Macaca fascicularis: one gene and its partners. The protein of the gene in region 2 binds, or shares a complex with, the protein of the main gene of each other region. Links are inferred from orthologs where the notes say so. Each region holds a gene or a part of one and is shown on either strand. Other genes may lie near its edges.

Region 1 (5,796 bases), on a different chromosome or scaffold from region 2:
TACAGGGTCTTGCTCTTTTGCCCAGACTAGAGTGCACTGGTGCAGTCCCTACTTACTGCAGCCTTGACCTCCAGCTCATGCGATCCTCCTACCTCAGACTCCTGAGTAGCCTATAGTCCCAGCCAATCAGGAGGTACACACCACATGCCACCATGCCTGGCTAGCTTTTATTTTTATTTTTTGTACAGACAGAGTCTCACCATGTTGCCCAGGCTGGTCTTGAACTCCTGGGCTCGAGCAGTTTACCTACCTCAATCTCCCAAAGTGCTGAGATTACAGGCATCAGCCACCACACCCAATCTAATTATCTTTTTAACCAGACAAAACAATGGTACTCTATAAGAATCATAAAATTTTATTATTAAAAATAGCAGCCGGACATGGTGGATCACTCCTGTAGTTCCAGCGCTTTGGGAGGCCATGGCAGGCAGATCACTTGAGGTCAGGAGTTCAAGAACAGCCTGGCCAACATGGTAAAACCTCGTCTCTACTATAAATACTAAAATTAACTGGGCATGGTGGCAGGCGCCTGTAATCCCAGCTACTCGGGAGGCCGAGGCAGGAGAATTGCTTGACCCCAGGAGGCAGAGGTTGCAGTGAGCCAAGACTGCACCACTGCACTCTAGCCTGGGTGACAGAGCGAGACTCCATCTCAAAAAAAAAAAAAAATTAGTCCTTCCCTTGCATTTATTTTATACATAAGGAAAGCCCAGAAGGGTTAAGTGAACTGTTCCAAGTCACACAACTTGTTAACATGTAGTGATGGTTTATTGTGAATTATAGTCAATATCTTCTCTTCCATGAGTGCCCTTTTCATTATAACATTCCATCTTATAGAATAACAGATTTTTGCCAGGCACGGTGGCTCACACCTGTAATCCCAGCACTTTGGGAGGCTTAGGCAGTAAGATCACTTGAGCCCAGGAGTTGAAGAGCAGCCTAGGCAACATAGCGAGACTCCGTATCTATCAAAAATTTAAAAGATTAGCTAGGCATGGGTTCCTTAATCCCACCTATTCAGGAGGCTGAGGCAGGAGAATTGCTCGAGCCCAGGAGTTCAATGCTGTAGTGAGCTATGTTCACACCACTGTACTCCAGCCTGGATGGCAGAGGGAGACCCTGTCTCTAAAAGAAAGAGAGATCTTTCTATTATGGATCCTATTTCTTAAAAGTTGACTTAGTCCATTTCATAATACCCTTGCCTCATTTTAAAATTCTATTGAAAATGTTTTTGGTTTGTTTTATTTTGTTTTTGAGACAGAGTCTCACATTGTCGCCCAGGCTGTAGTACAGTGTTGCGGTCTCGGCTCACTGCAACCTCCGCCTTCTGGGTTCAAGCAATTCTCCTGCCTCAGCCTCTCAAGTAGCTGGGACTACAAGCACACACCACCACGCCTGGCTAATTTTTTGTATTTTTAGTAGAGACGGGGTTTCGCCATGTTACCCAGGCTGGTCCCAAACTCCTGAGCTCAGATAATCTACCCACTTCGGCTTCCCTAAACGCTGGGATTACAGGCATGAGCCACTGTGCCTGGCCTCATATGTTTTAAACTCATATCCAGTCATCTTACAGGGTTGGCTCCATAAAGGAGACAGTTTAATTTTCCTTAGAATTAGCATATTCTGGCTGGGTATGGTAGTTCGCACCTGTAATCCCAGCACTTTGGGAGGCTGAGGTAGGCAGATTGCTTGAGCCCAGGAGTTCGAGACCAACCTGGGCAATGTAACAAGACCCTGTCTCTACAAAAAAATACAAAAATTAGCCAGGCATGGAGGTGCATGCCTGTAGTACCAGCTGCTTGGGAGGCTGAGGTGGGAGGATTGCTTGAGCCCAGGAGGTTGAGGCTGCAGTGAGCCGTGATAGCACTACTACACTCCAACCTGGGTGACAGAGAAAGACCCTGTCTCAAAAAAAAAAAAAAAAATTATATTCTACAGTGGCATACCTGTAGTCCCAGTTACTGTGGGGGCCAGCTGGGACTAGCTAGTAAGACCTCATCTCTTAAAAAAAAAGAAAAATTATCATATTCCAACCAGAGTTAGGTATGGACCTTGTTCCCTGACCTGTTAATAGAGATGTAAAGCTTCAGTAAGTCTGACACCCAGAGGGTATCTCCATTATTCTAAATATAGTGATTGTTGGGCTAGGTGTCATGGCACGCGCCTATATTCCCAGCTATTCGGGAGGCTAGGGCGGGAGGATTACTTGAGCCCAGGAGTGAGGCTGCAGTGAGCTGTGATCGTGCCACTGCACTCCAACCTTGGCAACAGAGCAAGACTCTGTCTCTAAAAACAATAAATAAATAAAAATAAAAAGATATAGTGATAGCTCTAGTTAAGACTCATATTCCGTTGATGTTATCTTCCTTTTTCTTTCTTTCTTCAGGATCTACAGTCTTTGCAGAAATTCAGGGGGTCATTGATGCTTGCATTAAACTATCTGGAATGCCCGATCTCTCCCTTTCTTTCATGGTAAGTTTTATTCTCCTGTTTTATAGCCCCTTGAATGCCTAATACATGTGAAGTACTAAATGAAATGATAAATATTGAGATAAGTTTGCATCTTAGATTGCAAAGGATTGTCTCAGAAATATTCCTAGCAGAGTTTCCTAAGACAGGCACTTACATGATGAGCGTGGTCTTTATGGAAAGGCTAAGGGAGGTCTTTGCCTGAGTGTGCTAGAAAGGGCTTAAAATTGGCTGGCTGGCTTCTGCAAATATCCAGTATCATTTTTACTGAGTAATTATTTGCTTTGCTGATATGAAAGGACATTGGTCTTTTGTATCATTTTAGAGTCAGCATGACATACTGCTAGGAACAATTAAGAGAACTGACTTCTGGTGTTGTCACCAGTTTGTTCTGACCTTAAGTCCTCTGAACCTCAGTTTTTTAATCTGTTAAAGGGAAATAATACTACTTGCCTTTTCTCCTTTATGGTTATTGAAATTCAATAAAATAATGTACATAAAATATTTACAAACTTTAAAGCATTGTGAAACTATAAGGTTGTGTAGATGTGGTCATAAACTCTTCCATGACTGCTTTATCTTCAGGGAACATATTGATTTGTCAAGGTATCTAAGTACAGTTCCCATATTCATTATGCTCTATGAACACGGCTGTCTTCTGTTTTCTTGACAGAACCCTAGGCTTCTGGATGACGTCAGCTTCCACCCCTGCATCCGGTTCAAGCGTTGGGAATCTGAAAGAGTTTTGTCATTTATTCCTCCAGATGGAAATTTCCGACTCATATCATACCGTGTCAGCTCACAAAAGTATGTTGATGCATCAGCCAGAATCTGCCATCATACATATCAAGCAGAACTCACCTTTCCCTGTTCCTTTATGACAGTTGAGTACTTGAGGTCGTCATTGCTCACTTTAACCATAGCTCACCGGGAGACCCAGTGAGAACTGGTGAAAATACGCACCTAAAATATCAGTATACTTTGAATGTATGAGTGTAGAGTGGTACTAAGTGAGACTAGAGTAAAATCTATAGCCAAGGGCAAGCAAACCATGCATAACCTGGGCAAAAGGTTTTGGTACTGGTTCTTTGCAAGGTTACGCATTGTCAAATTATGGCGCTGGTTCTTTGCTCAGGTTATGCACGGTCCATTTTGCTCTGCTTCTGACAGCTGAGTACTTTGCAAGCAGAGCAAAATGGACTGTGCATAACCTGGGCAAAACCATGAACCACTGCCATAATCTTACCATAGTCTGTAGACTTTGTGGCTAACAAGGAGACAGACCTACCTGTAGTTCGTGAGGACATTCCCAAACTTACCTGCTTCAAGTCAGTCTTCTCTGCTTCGAGGTTTTAAGGAACTGTTTAGCATTGAGAGCCGGGTGCAGTGGTTCACTCCTGTAATCCCAACACTTTGGGAGGCCAGTGTGGGCAGATCACTTGAGGTCAGGAGTTCTAGACCAGTCTGGTCAACGTGGTGAAACCTTGTCTCTACTAAAAATACAAAATTAGCCAGGCGTGATAGCGTGTGCCTATAATCTCAACTACTTGGGAGGCTGAGGCATGAGAATCACTTGAACCTGGAAGGCAGAGGTTGCAGTGACAGATCATGCCACTGCACTCCAGCCTGGCCAAGAGGGTGAAATTGCATCTCAAAAAAATAAAAAAAAATTTAGCATTGGGGATCGTAGTTTTATAGCTAGTTTGTTTCTTGAAAATACCAGAAGTTATTTGAGTAACATTATGACAGGACTCAAAAGCAGACAAATTATTTCTTGGCTCTTTTTTTCTTTGAACCGGAGTTCGGCTCTTGTTGCTCAGACTGGAGTGCAGTGGTGAAATTTTGGCTTACCTCAACCTCCACCTCTAGGGTTCAAGTGATTCTCTGCCTCAGCCTCCCAAGTAGCTGGGATTACATGCATGTACCACCACGCCCGGCTAATTTTGTGTTTTTAGTAGAGACAGGGTTTCTCCATGTTGGTCAGGCTGGTCTCGAACTCCCGACCTTGGGTGATCCGCCCACCTCAGCCTCCCAAAGTCCTGGGATTACAGGCGTGAGCCACCGCACCCAGCCTGTTTCTTGACTCATCACATAGGAACTGTTTTCATTTATATAAAACATATTTTACATTATTTTTCAGTGGGATCGTAATTCATTTTTTTAAACTAGGGCCATTTGCCCCAATTGTTTTTTTTTTGTTTGTTTGTTTTATGTTTTTTTGGTTTTTTTGTTTGTTTGTTTTGAGACGGAGTTTCACTGTTGTCGCCCAGGCTGGAGTACAATTCTGTGATCTTGGCTTATGGCAACCTCTACCTCCTGGGTTCAAGTGATTCTTCTGCCTCAGCCTCCCAAGTAGCTGGGATTACAGGCGCCCGCCACCGCGCCCAGCTAATTTTTGTTTCTTGTTACTTTTTTTAGTAGAGAGGGGGTTTCACCATGTTGGCCAGGCTGATCTCAAACTCCTGACCTCCAGTGATCTGCCTGCCTTGGCCTCCCAAAGTGCCAGGATTACAGGCATGAGCCACTGCACCCAGCCACCCCCAATTGTTTATACTGTTATTAAACTTCAGATTTCTGTCTTGATTTGTATACAGTTCCCAGCACAGTGGTACCAGAACATTATGCTATACTCAGCTCCCCCTTGTGTAGATGCTGAATCTGCAGTTCTGGAGGTACCGCCATCTTGGTATCCTTGGAGGATTGGTTGCAAAAATCAGCAGATGCTCAAGTCCCTTATATAAAATGGTGTAGTATTTGCATATAACCTATGCACATCCTCCTGGGTACTTAAAATCATCTCCAAGTTACTTGTGATAGTACACTGTAAACACTGTGTAAATAATTGTTATACCAGGTTGACTTTTTATTTTTATTATATTTTGTAGTTGTATTGTTATTTTTTTTTTTTTCTTTTTTTTTTTTGAGATGGAATCTCGCTCCGTTGCCCAGGCTGGAGTGCAGAGGCGCAATCTCAGCTCACTGCAATCTCCACTTCCCAGGTTCAAGTAATTCTCCTGCCTCAGCCTTCTGAGTAGCTGGGACTACAGGCACAAGCCACCACACCCAGCTAATTTTTGTATTTTTAGTAGAGACGAGGTTTCACCATGTTGGCCAGGCTGGTCTTGAACTCCTCACCTCAGCCTCCCAAAGTACTGGGATTACAAGTGTGAGCCACCACACCCAGCCTCAGCTAATTTTTGTATTTTTGTAGAGATGAGGTTTCACTATGTTGGCCAGGCTGGTCTCAAACTCCTGACCTCAGGTGATCCCCTCCCACCGCCGGTCTCGGCCTCCCAAAGTGCCGGGATTACAGGCATGAGCCACCAC
Region 2 (5,796 bases):
TCAGACCCGAAAAACAGACCCTCCCTGTGTGGGCTCAACAGCAGAACAGCCAGGACAAGGCAGAGTGGTGAGCTTGGCAGGAGAGCAACAACCATGAACCCATCTGAACACAGCCTCGGGTCATGAAGGGCAGCAGCCCAGGCTGGGGAGGAAGAGCGCAACACCCAAAAAGCAGCAAAACAAATCAGCTCCCAGACGCCTCACGCCCATCAGAATGGCTGCTGTCAGCCGGGCGCAGTGGCTCATGCCTCTAATACCAGCACTTTGGGAGGCTGAGGCAGGCGGATCAGGAGTTCGAGACTAGCCTGACTAACATGGTGAAACCCCGGAAACCCTGTGTCTACTAAAAATACAAAAAAATTAGCCAGGCGAGGTGGTGCGTGCCTGTAATCCCAGCTACTTGGGAGGCTGAGACAGGAGAATCGCTTGAACCCGGGAGGAGCTTGCAGTGAGCTGAGATCGCGCCACTGCACTCCAGCCTGGGTGACAGAGCAAGACTCTATCTCAAAGGAAAAAAAAAGAATGGCTGCTGTCAGCATAACAATGACAGGTGAAGAAATGGGGCCTCCTGCCTGGCGGCAGATGGGATACACGGTGCAGCGCTGGGGAAGACAGTCTGGCAGCTCCTCAAAACCTCAAAACCTCAAACATGGAATCACCACAGGACCCAGCAATCACACTCCTGGGTGTATATTCAAAACAAATGGGCTCACTCCTGCAATGCCAGCACTTTGGGAGGCCGAGGCAGGCGGATCACCTGAGGTTAGGAGTTCCAGACCAGCCTGGCCAACCTGGCAAAACCCCGTCTCCACTAAAAATACAAAAATTAGTCAGGCAAGGTGACGCACACCTGTAATCCCAGCTATTCAGGAGGCTGAGGCAGGAGAATCGCGTGAACCCGGGAGGCGGAGGTTGTGGTGAGCCCTTGGCTCCACTGCACCCCAGCTTGGCCAACAGAGTAAGACTCTATTTCCAAAACAAATACAAAAACAAAAACTAAAACACAAAAACAAAAGTACTGAAGGCAGGGACTCAAACAGTTATTTGTTTAACAACAATGTTGACAGCAGCACAATTCACAACAGCCAGAAGGTGGGAGCAGCAATGGATGAGGGGACACACAGCACGGTCCACCCGCACAAGAGAATACGATTCTGCCCTGAAAACGAAGGGAATCCTGACAGGCTGCGATGTGGATGCACCTTGAGGACATGAGGTGGAATAAGAGTAGCCAGACACAGAAGGACACATCCCGTGTGGTTCCACTCCTAGGCGGTCCCTAGAGTCATCAGATTCACCAAGACACAAAGTAGGATACGGGGTGCCAGGGGCTGGGGAGGTGACGGGGAGTGAGTGTTTCATGGAAGGCCGTGAACCAGGAGAAAACTGGAACGTTAGGAATGAAAAGAACATCAATGGCAGGTCGGATGCAGTGGCTCACGCCTGTAATCCCAGCACTTTGGGAGGCCGAGGCAGGTGGATCATGAGGTCAGGAGATGGAGACCATCCTGGCTAACATGGTGAAACCCTGTCTCTACTAAAAATACAAAAAACTAGCCGGGCGTGGTGGCGGCGCCTGTGGTCCCAGCTACTTGGGAGGCTGAGGCAGGAGAATGGCGTGAACCCGGGTGGTGGAGCTTGCAGTGAGCCGAGATCGCGCCCCTGCACTCCAGCCTGGGCGACAGAGCAAGACTCCGTCTCAAATAAATAAATAAATAAATAAAAGTATGTATGCACGATCCCTGGACACCCACACATAAAAATACAAAGCAAGGGTATCAAAACCACAACAGACCTCTAGGAACTGAGGAATGCTGAGTAATGAACATGAGGAAGAAGGCGGAGAAGCGAAAGAAACACGTGCAAACTGGAAATCCTCAGTATGCTCCCAAAGGGCACTGGAACCAAACCAGACATCAAAAAAAATTGGTTCTTTGAAAAGTGCAATAAAATGGACAAACCTCTACCCAGGAGAACCAGGAAAAAAGAGACACAAACCGTGACCATCAGAACAGAAAGTGACCCAGGATCATCACAAAGAGCAGTGAAAAGAAACGGAGCAGCAAGACCGCGGCGCGCACCGCTCCGCACATCAGCTCAGTGACCCTGATGATTCCTTACGCTTGTTCTCTGAAAAGTACAAACTACCAAACTCACCCAAGATGAGCGATAACTTGGGGATTCCTATAACTGTTAACACAAAAAACTGCGGTTGTAGCTAAAAGCCTGCAGAAAAGGAACTCCCCAGGCCCAATGGTTTTCTGATGAATTCTGTACACACATTTCTTTCGAAGGAAAAAATGCCACTCATCACACAGTCTGTCCCAAAACAGAGAGGACACACTCTCCTGCGTGTCTGATGAGGTCACTGGATGACAAAACCAAAGGCGGTACCAGAAAAGAAAACTAAAGACCCAACTCCTCATATACACACACGAAAGCCCTCAACAAAACAGTCACACACTGAGTTTGGCAGTCGACACACTGCGAAGACAACCACCCTGCAATACTCAGGAGAGGGAGGCCTGGAGCGGAGCGGGCGAGGAGTCATTCTGGAAGCTCAGCAGTGAGAGGTGGAGAGTCCGACCCCAGGACCTTGGCTGCCTTGTGCACAGGGGTGGGGTGGGGGGCAGGAGTGCAGTGGGAGTGGGGGCCCCCGGAGCCATGTGTCAGCCTGGGGTGAGCAGCACAGCAGGAGGCGGAAGCCCCGTCTTGCTGAGGGAAAGTCTGCGCTACTGAGTGGGGCTGGCACAGGTGAGGGGCTCACGGCTGTGGTGCTGCCATCACTGTCCTTGAGCCCTCAAAGTCCCAAGGCTCACCCCTGGGGATGAAGGCCTGGGCATGGCCCCAGGAGAGGTGGGAGCCAGGGTGTGTGCCGTGACCTAAGGCTCACCTTTTTCACCAGGAGGCAGACGTGGTGGCCCTGGATGGAGCGGCTGTACATGGAGGCGCAGGAGTCCACTCGCTCCACAACTGCAACAGAGCGGGCGGCGTCAGGCCCCCGCACACCGCATGGTTGCAGCCCCACCCCCAGAGCAGGGGCCACCTTCCTGGGCTGCCCTTGGCCACAGCTTCAGGTCTGCAGGAGCAGGGTGTGGCCCTGGGAAGCCTGGGGTGTGGGGAATGCAGCCCCCGCACCAGCTTCCAGGCCTCGGGGCCACCAGTTACCCGGGATCCCAAAGGGTGGGAGTTTGGGTGCGAGGGCCACAGACCCGGCTCCAAAAGGAAGGGACAGCCGCCGCGCGTGTGAAAGCCCCTCACTCTCCTTACCAGAAAAATGGTGGTGAAAACAGATCTTTGCCAGAAGGTTCTGGAAGGACATCCGAATGCCATCGACTTTGACTGAGCTCATGCTCAAGTCCCCAGACTCCAGCAACTTGGCAAAGGTGTCACTGTGGGAGGGACAGGGAGGCTGACTCCGGTGGGGCCGGGTTCCTCAGGCTCCCTGGCACAGAAGCCGACAAAACCTGCCACACATGCCACCTCCTGCCTGTCTGGGCCGGGAGGTCTCGGGGGTCCTGGAAGATGTGGCTTATTTTCATGTGTGGAAGCCCTCACACCCAGAAACTGATAATGACTTGTCTTTAAAGAGGTCACAGAGGTGCCTGAAGTCATGGGGTGGGCCCTCCTCTGACAAGGACGGATGTCCTGTAGGAAAGGACTAGCGGGACAGGCTAGGACGCAGGCACACAGAGGACAGCCTGCAACGACTCGGGGGGCAGGCAGTGCCGCACGCCAAGCCGTGCTGAGGAGAGGCCTCAGGAGCAGCCCGTGCTGCTGGCTCCCTGATCTCACTCCTCCAGCCTCCAGGACTGCCAGGAGCCAGAGCCTCTCTGGGTGACGCTGCCAGGCCTGTGGCTTCAACTACGCGGCCCCAGCTGGTGCAGACACCAGGCAGCCTGACCTGCACCAGCCACGAGCCAGGCCTCCAAATCTGTCTCTAAAGTCCTGCCCAGAAGCCTCAGTCTCCAGGGCACAGGTGTCTGTAAGGTCGAGGGAGGCGGAGGGGTGCGGGAGGCGGAGGGGTGCAGGAGGTGGGCGTGGCCGGGCCCCACCTGTAGCAGGGTGTGGTGGTCAGGTAGGAGCTGCAGCTGAAGTGCAGCCGGAAGTCCAGCTTCTCGTGGGTTGCGCCCTCGTCATTCTGCAGTGGAGGGAAGGTGGTGCAGCTGAGTGGGGAGTGAGGCCCAGGTCAGAGCTCCGGGCTCCCCAGGCAGGTGGCCCACTTCCCCTAGGGACACCTGGACACCCACTGGAATGAGGCAGGAGGAGCCCCAGCCTGCAGAGTCGGCTCCCTGACGCCGAGTGGAGCCCCGCATACCTTGGCAATGAAGGACAGGGTTCCCTTGAGCTTCTGCGCCATGACGATGCTCTGGATGGTGAACACATACTGGGCTTCGTTGGAGACGCCTGGCGGGGAAGAGGGGGAGTGGGGCCTGAGACGCAGCTGGGGCTCAGCATGGGCGGGGCCCCCGGGTCTGTCCTTAGCCCCAACTCCTCGATGGCTGATTAGGAATCTGAGCTCAGCCCCCAAGGGAGCACCAGGGGACAGGAGCAGAAACAAGAGGCTAGTGGAGTCCCCAGTTTGGCCTGGACCTGGTCCCATCCCTGTTTCAGAGGACAGACTCGGCCACTGGAGCCGTGGAACCCAGGAAGGCCCCAGCCCCCAGCCCAGCCCTTGGGGCTCTAGCCAGGTCTATCCGAGGCCATCACACTTCTCAGAGAGCTGCAGTGAGACCCCGACACTGAGGAGGCACTGAGGTGCAGCCTGGGGACCAAGGGAACGTGAGGAGGAAGCAACAAGAACCAGTGGATCCGGGCAGCCACCAGCTGCCACCGTGCTCCCACAATCCCCAGGAGAGGCCGTGAGTGGGGCAGGGCTCACCCGGGGGCAGCTGGAAAGGCACGGGGACACCATCATGGACGGAGGAGCCCTGCGGCCGGGCCATCCTGGCATTGAGTGAGTCCAGCACGCTGAGCTCCATGCCCTTGAGGATGCTGCTGCTCCGGTTCTCCAGCACGATGGCCACGGTGACCTGACTGTCCTCCTGCAGACTGCCCCGGATGTCACAGGTCTGCAGGGCATGGCCAATGTAAGCAGGGCAGGCACAGCTGCCTGTCTCTCAGTGACCACAGAGGCAGCACGGGTCCCACGGGCACAGGCAGGCACGGGGGGAGGCGACCCCCAGCTGCGGCCAGGCGCCTCCTGTGGCTGCTCTTTGAGTGCATGGCGGGGGCCTCCTGCCAGCTCAGGGCATGTCTCTAACCTTACCCAAGCCAGAGGCGCTGCCCAAGCAATGCCCTGCCAGGGATCACAGGCCCTGGGTACACCAACATCTGGGAGCTGTGGGGGCTGCCCCGGTTCTGTGCAATCCCATGCCAAAGAGCAAGGGCTGGCCCACCCTGCCCCGGGGAGCAGCTCACCATTTTAACATAGGAATTTTCAGCGAGGAGGGAGTAGCTGGACTCAGGCTGGAAAGAGAAAAGGCCCATCAGCCTCGGGGGCCTCGAGCTCCGTCCTAACGAAGACTCCAGTGCAGCCCAATACCCTAGGTCAAATGCCACGACTCCAAGAACGCTTGGGGTGAGGGGCTTCAAAGGGGCCTGCGAGGGATGCCCGTCTCCCACACAGCCCACCGCGGGGGTGCCGAATGTGGGGCTGCAGGCCAGGGCCAGGTCCCTGCTCCCGCCAGGCTCAGCTTCTTCAAGAATCTGCTGTTCTCTCCCGCATGGAGGCCGCAGGAGTGGGGAGCAGCCCGCAGCCCGCCAGGAACCCTGGCACGGGGCGGGGGCGCTGAA
Region 3 (5,796 bases), on a different chromosome or scaffold from region 2:
CATAGGGGCTCTGAGTGAGAGTTTGTGCTGCTGTATTTAGGAGTAAAGTAAATCAGCCTTAATGCCAGGACTTCTAACAGTTGCATTCTCTGTTGAGGCCATAAGCTTGCTTTTGAATTTGGTTATGTTCTTGATGATTAAGTTTGCCAGAACTCTAAATCTCTGAATGAGAATTCATTTATATTTACTTTATTTGTTTAAACAGGCAAAAGAATGGACCCCAGCGGGAAAAGCAAAACAAGAGAATTCTGCTAAGAAGTTTTATTCTGAATCTGAGGAAGAGGAGGACTCTTCTGATAGTAGCAGTGACAGTGGTGGGTTTTATAATTTATTGGCATGTATTTTTACATAGTAGATTACATTCTATATCTCAGAAACAAGGCCTAATCTATAATATTCAGCAGGTGGTTTTAAGTGAAGTTTGTATTATCAAAATAATCCCTTTCATTTATATATCGCTGTTTACTTTTCAAGGTAATTTTTAATTACTAAATTCTCTTTTTACTTTACAATGTCTCTTGGACAATAGCTAATACATTGGTATAGCTGAAACAGGAACTCATACTTTTCTGAATTCTAAACCATAATGCCTATTATATCTATTGGAAAACATGATTTTATACTTGATAAACTTTTAGTGGAGTCTTTAAAAGTAACTTTCTTTTATAAAAATGTAAAGTTTATTTTATACCTTGAAGAGTCTTTTTCTCTTTCATTTTATACTCATCTCTTTCTGTGAACCTCTATAGAGATAAAGCTAAAATTATTAAGTCTCTATATACTATAAAAAAATCAAACTAAAGATTGAGAGTAACTGTATGCAGTGAAAAGAATGCTGAATAGGAAGGATTTAGAAACCCTGGGTTTTACCTATGCAAATTGAAGAAGGCACCTACTTTTCTCTATATCAGATAAATGAAGGGGTAGAGTTAAATATTTCTTAAAGTCCCTTCATTGCTAAAATTCTGTGAGTGATTTGCCTAATGAAAACTATATTGGAGTCACTTTCTGATGCTCTTATTAACACTTAACCTAATAGGCAAGTCTGCCCCAAGACCAAGTGATACCCAACTTTCTCTAAAATCTTATACCTTGGAGAACCAGGGCCTGTCACTCTTACTTGGTTATCTACTACCCAACTCTAAGGTAATTCACTCTCTTTTCTCTGTGTTCCTTATCAAAAATCTTTGTTTTTAATATCTGATAAATTAATCTGTGATACATTACCTTCTGAAGTAATCAACTGAAAAGTAGAGAAATAATTGAGAAAGTAGATATTAAAAAATATGGAATTTCAGGAGTAATGTAGACCTGTGAGAATTATCTGTGTAATTAATCATGTACTTCTTCATTTTGTAGAATTACATATAGATATTTGTCTACATTATATTTATTCACTAGCCCATGCCTATTCATAGGCTGACCATTTTTAATACATACACGAAATATTCCATTAACATTACAGCTTTTCATGAGTTTGTCTGAATACATGTAATAATGAGTCATGTGGCAGGAGTTCTACTGTAGCTGCCAGAGGAAAAAAGAAAACTTTTCTTGCTAGAAGTTATGAGATTGGCTGGGCGTGGTGGCTCATGCCTGTAATCCCAGCACTTTGGGAGGCTGAGACAGGCAGATCACAAGGTCAGGAGATTGAGACCATACTGGCTAACACGGTGAAACCCCGTCTCTACTAAAAATACAAAAAATTAGCTGGGCGTGGTGGCACGTGCCTGTAATCCCAGCTACTCAGGAGACTGAGGCAGGAGAATGGTGTGAACCCAGGAGGCGGAGGTTACAGTGAGCCGTGATCACACCACTACACTCCAGCCTGGGCAACAGAGCAAGACTCCATCTCAAAAAACAAACAAAAATGTTATAAGATTGTGTTTTCCAGGTAGCAAGTATTTTTGAGAATAAACTAATTTTCTCTAAGATTTTACTGACTCGAAAATTTAAATAATGGTGCCTGAAGTCAGCTGGCCCCAGATTCGTGTTGCAGTCCCATGTGATGACATGAGAGAGTAACTTAGATGCTGTAATTTCTTTTCATCGTTTATAGCATAAGCCAGTTATCTGACTTAATATGTATGTGTGTGTAACTTGGATATTGCCACAAATTTAAAATGTCCTTATTTAGTAGCTTTATTTTAGTAAAATAAACTTTCCTGTTTGTAAATGATGATAATGATGAGCACCTTAACCTGTGGCAGACCCTGTTGTGTTCTAATCACCTTTATATGTTTCAAATCATTTAATCTTCAGAACAACTCTGAAAAGTAACTAGTATTATCCCCATTTGCCGAAAAGGAAACCAAGACCCAGAGAAGTTGAATAACTTGATCAGTTTTACAACTGGCAGGTAGCAGAGCCAGGATCTGAATGCGAACACTAACTTGATAACCCATGCTTGTACCCCTTGCAAGCCATCTTGAAAGAATACAGGCACTCCTAGCTTTTCACTGTGATGGACCTTCCTGATGTTGGTGTTATTTAACCATTAGAATGTTTAATTAAAGGTTGTGTTCCTGCCTAAGAGGGCTTCGTTACGTAGATCACAGGCAGGGCAACAGTTTGTCCTTTTGTCTAGGACACAACTCTGTAGTTGTAGTCATTTTAAATAGTAAAAAATACACATATATTTTTCATGTGTTCTCTTCTGCAGAGAGTCCTAGCATACCATAATTTATACATAAAACATTTAAAAGTATAATTCCTCAATGTAACTTGATCATCTCTTTGACCTATGGAAAACTCCTTTACTAGCTCGAATAAGTAATAACTCTTTAATTAGTCATTTGCCTATTGTCTTTGAATTTGGAAGTTTTTCCAGGTGATTTGAATGGCTCATTTTCCTCTCAAAATTTGTTCCTAAGAAGATTAAACTGTTGCCTTCTTTTACTCTAAATAGAATTTCCCATTACAAGCAGAAGAATTTAAAATTATTTCTTTAGCCTTACATCAATCTTTATGTAATTCTTTAAAAGAAAGTTTTTGACAAAGCTATATACTTTGGGGTTTGAAAAGTGAGATTCCCTCAAATTTGGTTTACTTGGTTCATCTTTGCTTAGCTTTTCTCTACTCATTGTCAGAGCATCCTCTCTCTGTCTGCCTCCCTCCAAACTCACCGTGCTAAAGGAATCCATAGAGCTGAAAGAATGGGGTATGGGAATGAAATGTTAAACACGTGGTGTCCACTGAACTAAAATTCAACATCTGGTTTCATTTGAGATGAATATTGACAGTTACAGGTGTCCGTGTGTCTAATTAAATGACTATAAATCTAAGAACATCTGGTTCTGTTTTTCAGAGAGTGAATCTGGAAGTGAAAGTGGAGAGCAAGGCGAAAGTGGGGAGGAAGGAGACAGCAATGAGGACAGCAGTGAGGACTCCTCCAGTGAGCAGGACAGTGAGAGTGGAAGGGAGTCAGGCCTAGAAAACAAAAGAACAGCCAAGAGGAACTCAAAAGCCAAAGGAAAAAGGTAATGTATTTTGTCAGAATTTCCTTCAAAAAATATTCTGTGAAAGTTTGCCCCAGGCAGATGTTTCTTGTTAATCAAAAAATGATGAGAGAAAAGAAGTGTGTATTTTTTCCCAAACAGATATTAAATCTTTTTAAAATTAAAGTGCTAGTTCACATTATTTTCCTACTTGTAATGCTTAGCTTTCATTTTGAACTTGAACATATCTTGGGGTTACATTTTGAAAATTGGTATAACCTTGGAAGGCTGAGTTAAGTGATCAAGCAATAGGTATGAAACACTTAATTACCTTTTGTAGCAATTTTGCTGAGGGCTAAAATTAAATCCTTCAACACTTTGCCATTATGTAACCAAGACAATTGATTTTTCTAAATAATGTTATATTAAAAAGATTATGATCCAAATATTAGAGTCAAGGGCTGTGAAGGAAGACGGTCATAAGAGCTTTAAGTGTTAGCACTTTTTAAGATCTCCCATTATCAACAACATTATCATGTATTAAAGTGTCATTAAAATTTTGAGTAATTGGGGCTAATATCTTGGATTGTGCAACTCTGTTTTCCCCACTGCTGTCAGTGAGTGGCCTCTGCCGACATGATGGTCCTTTCCCCAGGAGCCTGCTGCCCGCTCACTTGATGAGCTTGCAGCTCGGCTCAGTCGTGGCTGACAGCACTGATTGGGGCGCAGTACGCTCTCTGCTCCTTTTATTACAGACAGTAATTAAAGCAGCTCGCCCTGCCACTTCCATAACAAACACAGCATAATGCCCTAATTATGACTTTATTAATTTAAGTCAGGATTTAATGATTTTAAAAGTGATTTATATTGTTTTTCCTGTTCAGAACAAATGAAATCTGTAGGTTAAATTAATACAGGCTTTTCATCATTGCAAAGTTAGAAACCTAGTTACCAGTAAATTCTTTTCATTAGATTAACATCTGAAACTCTAAGCAGTAAGGTAAACAATAATTACCATCAAAATTGAGTGATGCATAATAAAATAACACTTTTACTTTTAAAATCTTATCTTAAAAGCTGGAAGTTAAATATATTTAGAATCATTCACTTGTTGCAGCAAAGGAGCTACTTGGTTTATAATAGCCTTGTCTTTGAGAGAAATCCTGTACTTCTGGTTTAATATCAGAATATCTATGATGATATGAGTTATAAAACATGTCTTGTTTCTAGAAAGGGAAAGTTTTGTTCAGTGCATGAAATGTCCTTTCAGATGGCAGAAGTCAGTATACTAGAAATTTGTAGTCATGTATTAGTTTTATTATTCCTTTCTTCAGAAATAGATTTTTCTCTTTACCCACATTTGAATTTAAAAGAATTGTTTATTACAAAGAGAACCACAAATACATTCTAAACCTTATATTTTTAAGTACACATTTTAACCAGTGAATTGGGGATAATAAATTGCCGTTTTTTTGCCAGGGAAAAACAACAACATATTTTTCAGTCTTCAAATATAATTACATGTGCTCTGAGATGTTGCCATGGCTCCATTTTTAATAAACAGCAATCATATTTCCTCTACAAAAATCAATTCTAGGAAATATCGATTCTTTCCTTGCCTCACTCCTCTCCCTCCCCCAGTATTTTTCTGCCTCTTAGAATGTTTTTTTAACTTTGCTAGTATGATAATTTTTTAAAGCTCTTAATAAGCTTTAAGCATCTTCAAAAACCACCCTTTAGTAATCATAAATATTTATGACCGAATTTAAATTTTACACTCCAAAGTGTTTTCATTTGAAGGGAGATAGTATGACATAGTGGAAAAAATACGGACTTTGGAGTGAGACAGGCTTGAGTTCAGATTCTAGTTCTGCCCCTCTTGTTATGTGTCCCTGAGCAAGTTATTTAACCTTTCTGAATATTAATTTCATTATTGTAAATGGGATAATAATGTACCCAGGAAGAGTGCATTTAAATTAGGTAATCAGTATGATTGGTATGAAATGCCTAGCCCTTTCTGGCCCACAGTAGATTCTTAAAAATATACACACACATGTTGTAGAGAGAACTAGACTTTTAGTTTCCAGGAAAATATAAAACACCACAAGGCATCTCTCATCCCCTGAGATAAGGGTGTTTGGTCATCTCACATGTTATTCCTTCTCCTTGGAGAGCTGCTTCCCTGCCCATCTGCCAGCCTTACTCCTATATCTTGGCTTATATGTCTCTTTCTCCAGGAAGCATTCCTAATTGGATTAAGTTTGTTTAGGTGTCTCTCCAAATGTTCTCCTGACACACTATAATTTATTACTTACTATACTGTATTATCACTGCCACCTTATCTATATCCTCCAGTGGA

What was found. Proteins that work in one complex are often made in the same cells at the same time.
Region 1: the proteins of AP3D1 (region 2) and AP3M1 are in contact, whole or in part, in a cryo-EM structure (PDB 9C5C), measured with the Homo sapiens proteins. The link is inferred for Macaca fascicularis from reciprocal best matches to the Homo sapiens genes AP3D1 and AP3M1. Residues at the interface, in NP_003929.4 of Homo sapiens: Lys29, Glu388, Gly389, Thr390, Thr391, Arg393, Glu429, Arg432; in NP_001307192.1 of Homo sapiens: Ser25, Ser27, Asp30, Tyr31, Glu34, Pro52, Asp104.
Region 3: the proteins of AP3D1 (region 2) and AP3B1 are in contact, whole or in part, in a cryo-EM structure (PDB 9C5C), measured with the Homo sapiens proteins. The link is inferred for Macaca fascicularis from reciprocal best matches to the Homo sapiens genes AP3D1 and AP3B1. Residues at the interface, in NP_003929.4 of Homo sapiens: Lys352, Leu442, Ile446, Ser471, Tyr483, Trp487, Glu491, His517, Ala520, Val521, Gln524, Asn525, Lys528, Val561, Gln562, Ser563, Ala564, Leu566, Glu567, Gln569, Glu570, Arg571, Ser573, Cys574, Gln577, Leu578, His581, Ile582, Leu585, Lys588; in NP_003655.3 of Homo sapiens: Asn75, Lys466, Lys467, Gln470, Val494, Ala497, Ser498, Trp501, Leu531, Leu534, Gln535, Asn538, Lys542, Asn567, Tyr568, Asp569, Asp572, Arg573, Arg575, Phe576, Ile577, Gln579, Leu580, Lys586, Gly588, Ala589, Leu590, Ser591, Tyr593, Lys596.

Annotation. Positions count from the first base shown.
Region 1 is NC_088383.1:72,309,811-72,315,606, forward strand, and holds part of AP3M1 (AP-3 complex subunit mu-1), read left to right. Parts: intron 1-2,386; coding exon 2,387-2,472; intron 2,473-3,142; coding exon 3,143-3,276; intron 3,277-5,796. UniProt on the Homo sapiens protein: Part of the AP-3 complex, an adaptor-related complex which is not clathrin-associated. The complex is associated with the Golgi region as well as more peripheral structures.
Region 2 is NC_088393.1:2,748,527-2,754,322, forward strand, and holds part of AP3D1 (AP-3 complex subunit delta-1), read right to left. Parts: intron 5,470-5,796; coding exon 5,422-5,469; intron 5,073-5,421; coding exon 4,883-5,072; intron 4,408-4,882; coding exon 4,319-4,407; intron 4,167-4,318; exon of another isoform or gene 4,142-4,166; coding exon 4,056-4,141; intron 3,393-4,055; coding exon 3,271-3,392; intron 2,974-3,270; coding exon 2,894-2,973; intron 1-2,893. UniProt on the Homo sapiens protein: Part of the AP-3 complex, an adaptor-related complex which is not clathrin-associated. The complex is associated with the Golgi region as well as more peripheral structures.
Region 3 is NC_088380.1:82,074,107-82,079,902, reverse strand, and holds part of AP3B1 (AP-3 complex subunit beta-1), read left to right. Parts: intron 1-205; coding exon 206-314; intron 315-3,307; coding exon 3,308-3,479; intron 3,480-5,796. UniProt on the Homo sapiens protein: Subunit of non-clathrin- and clathrin-associated adaptor protein complex 3 (AP-3) that plays a role in protein sorting in the late-Golgi/trans-Golgi network (TGN) and/or endosomes.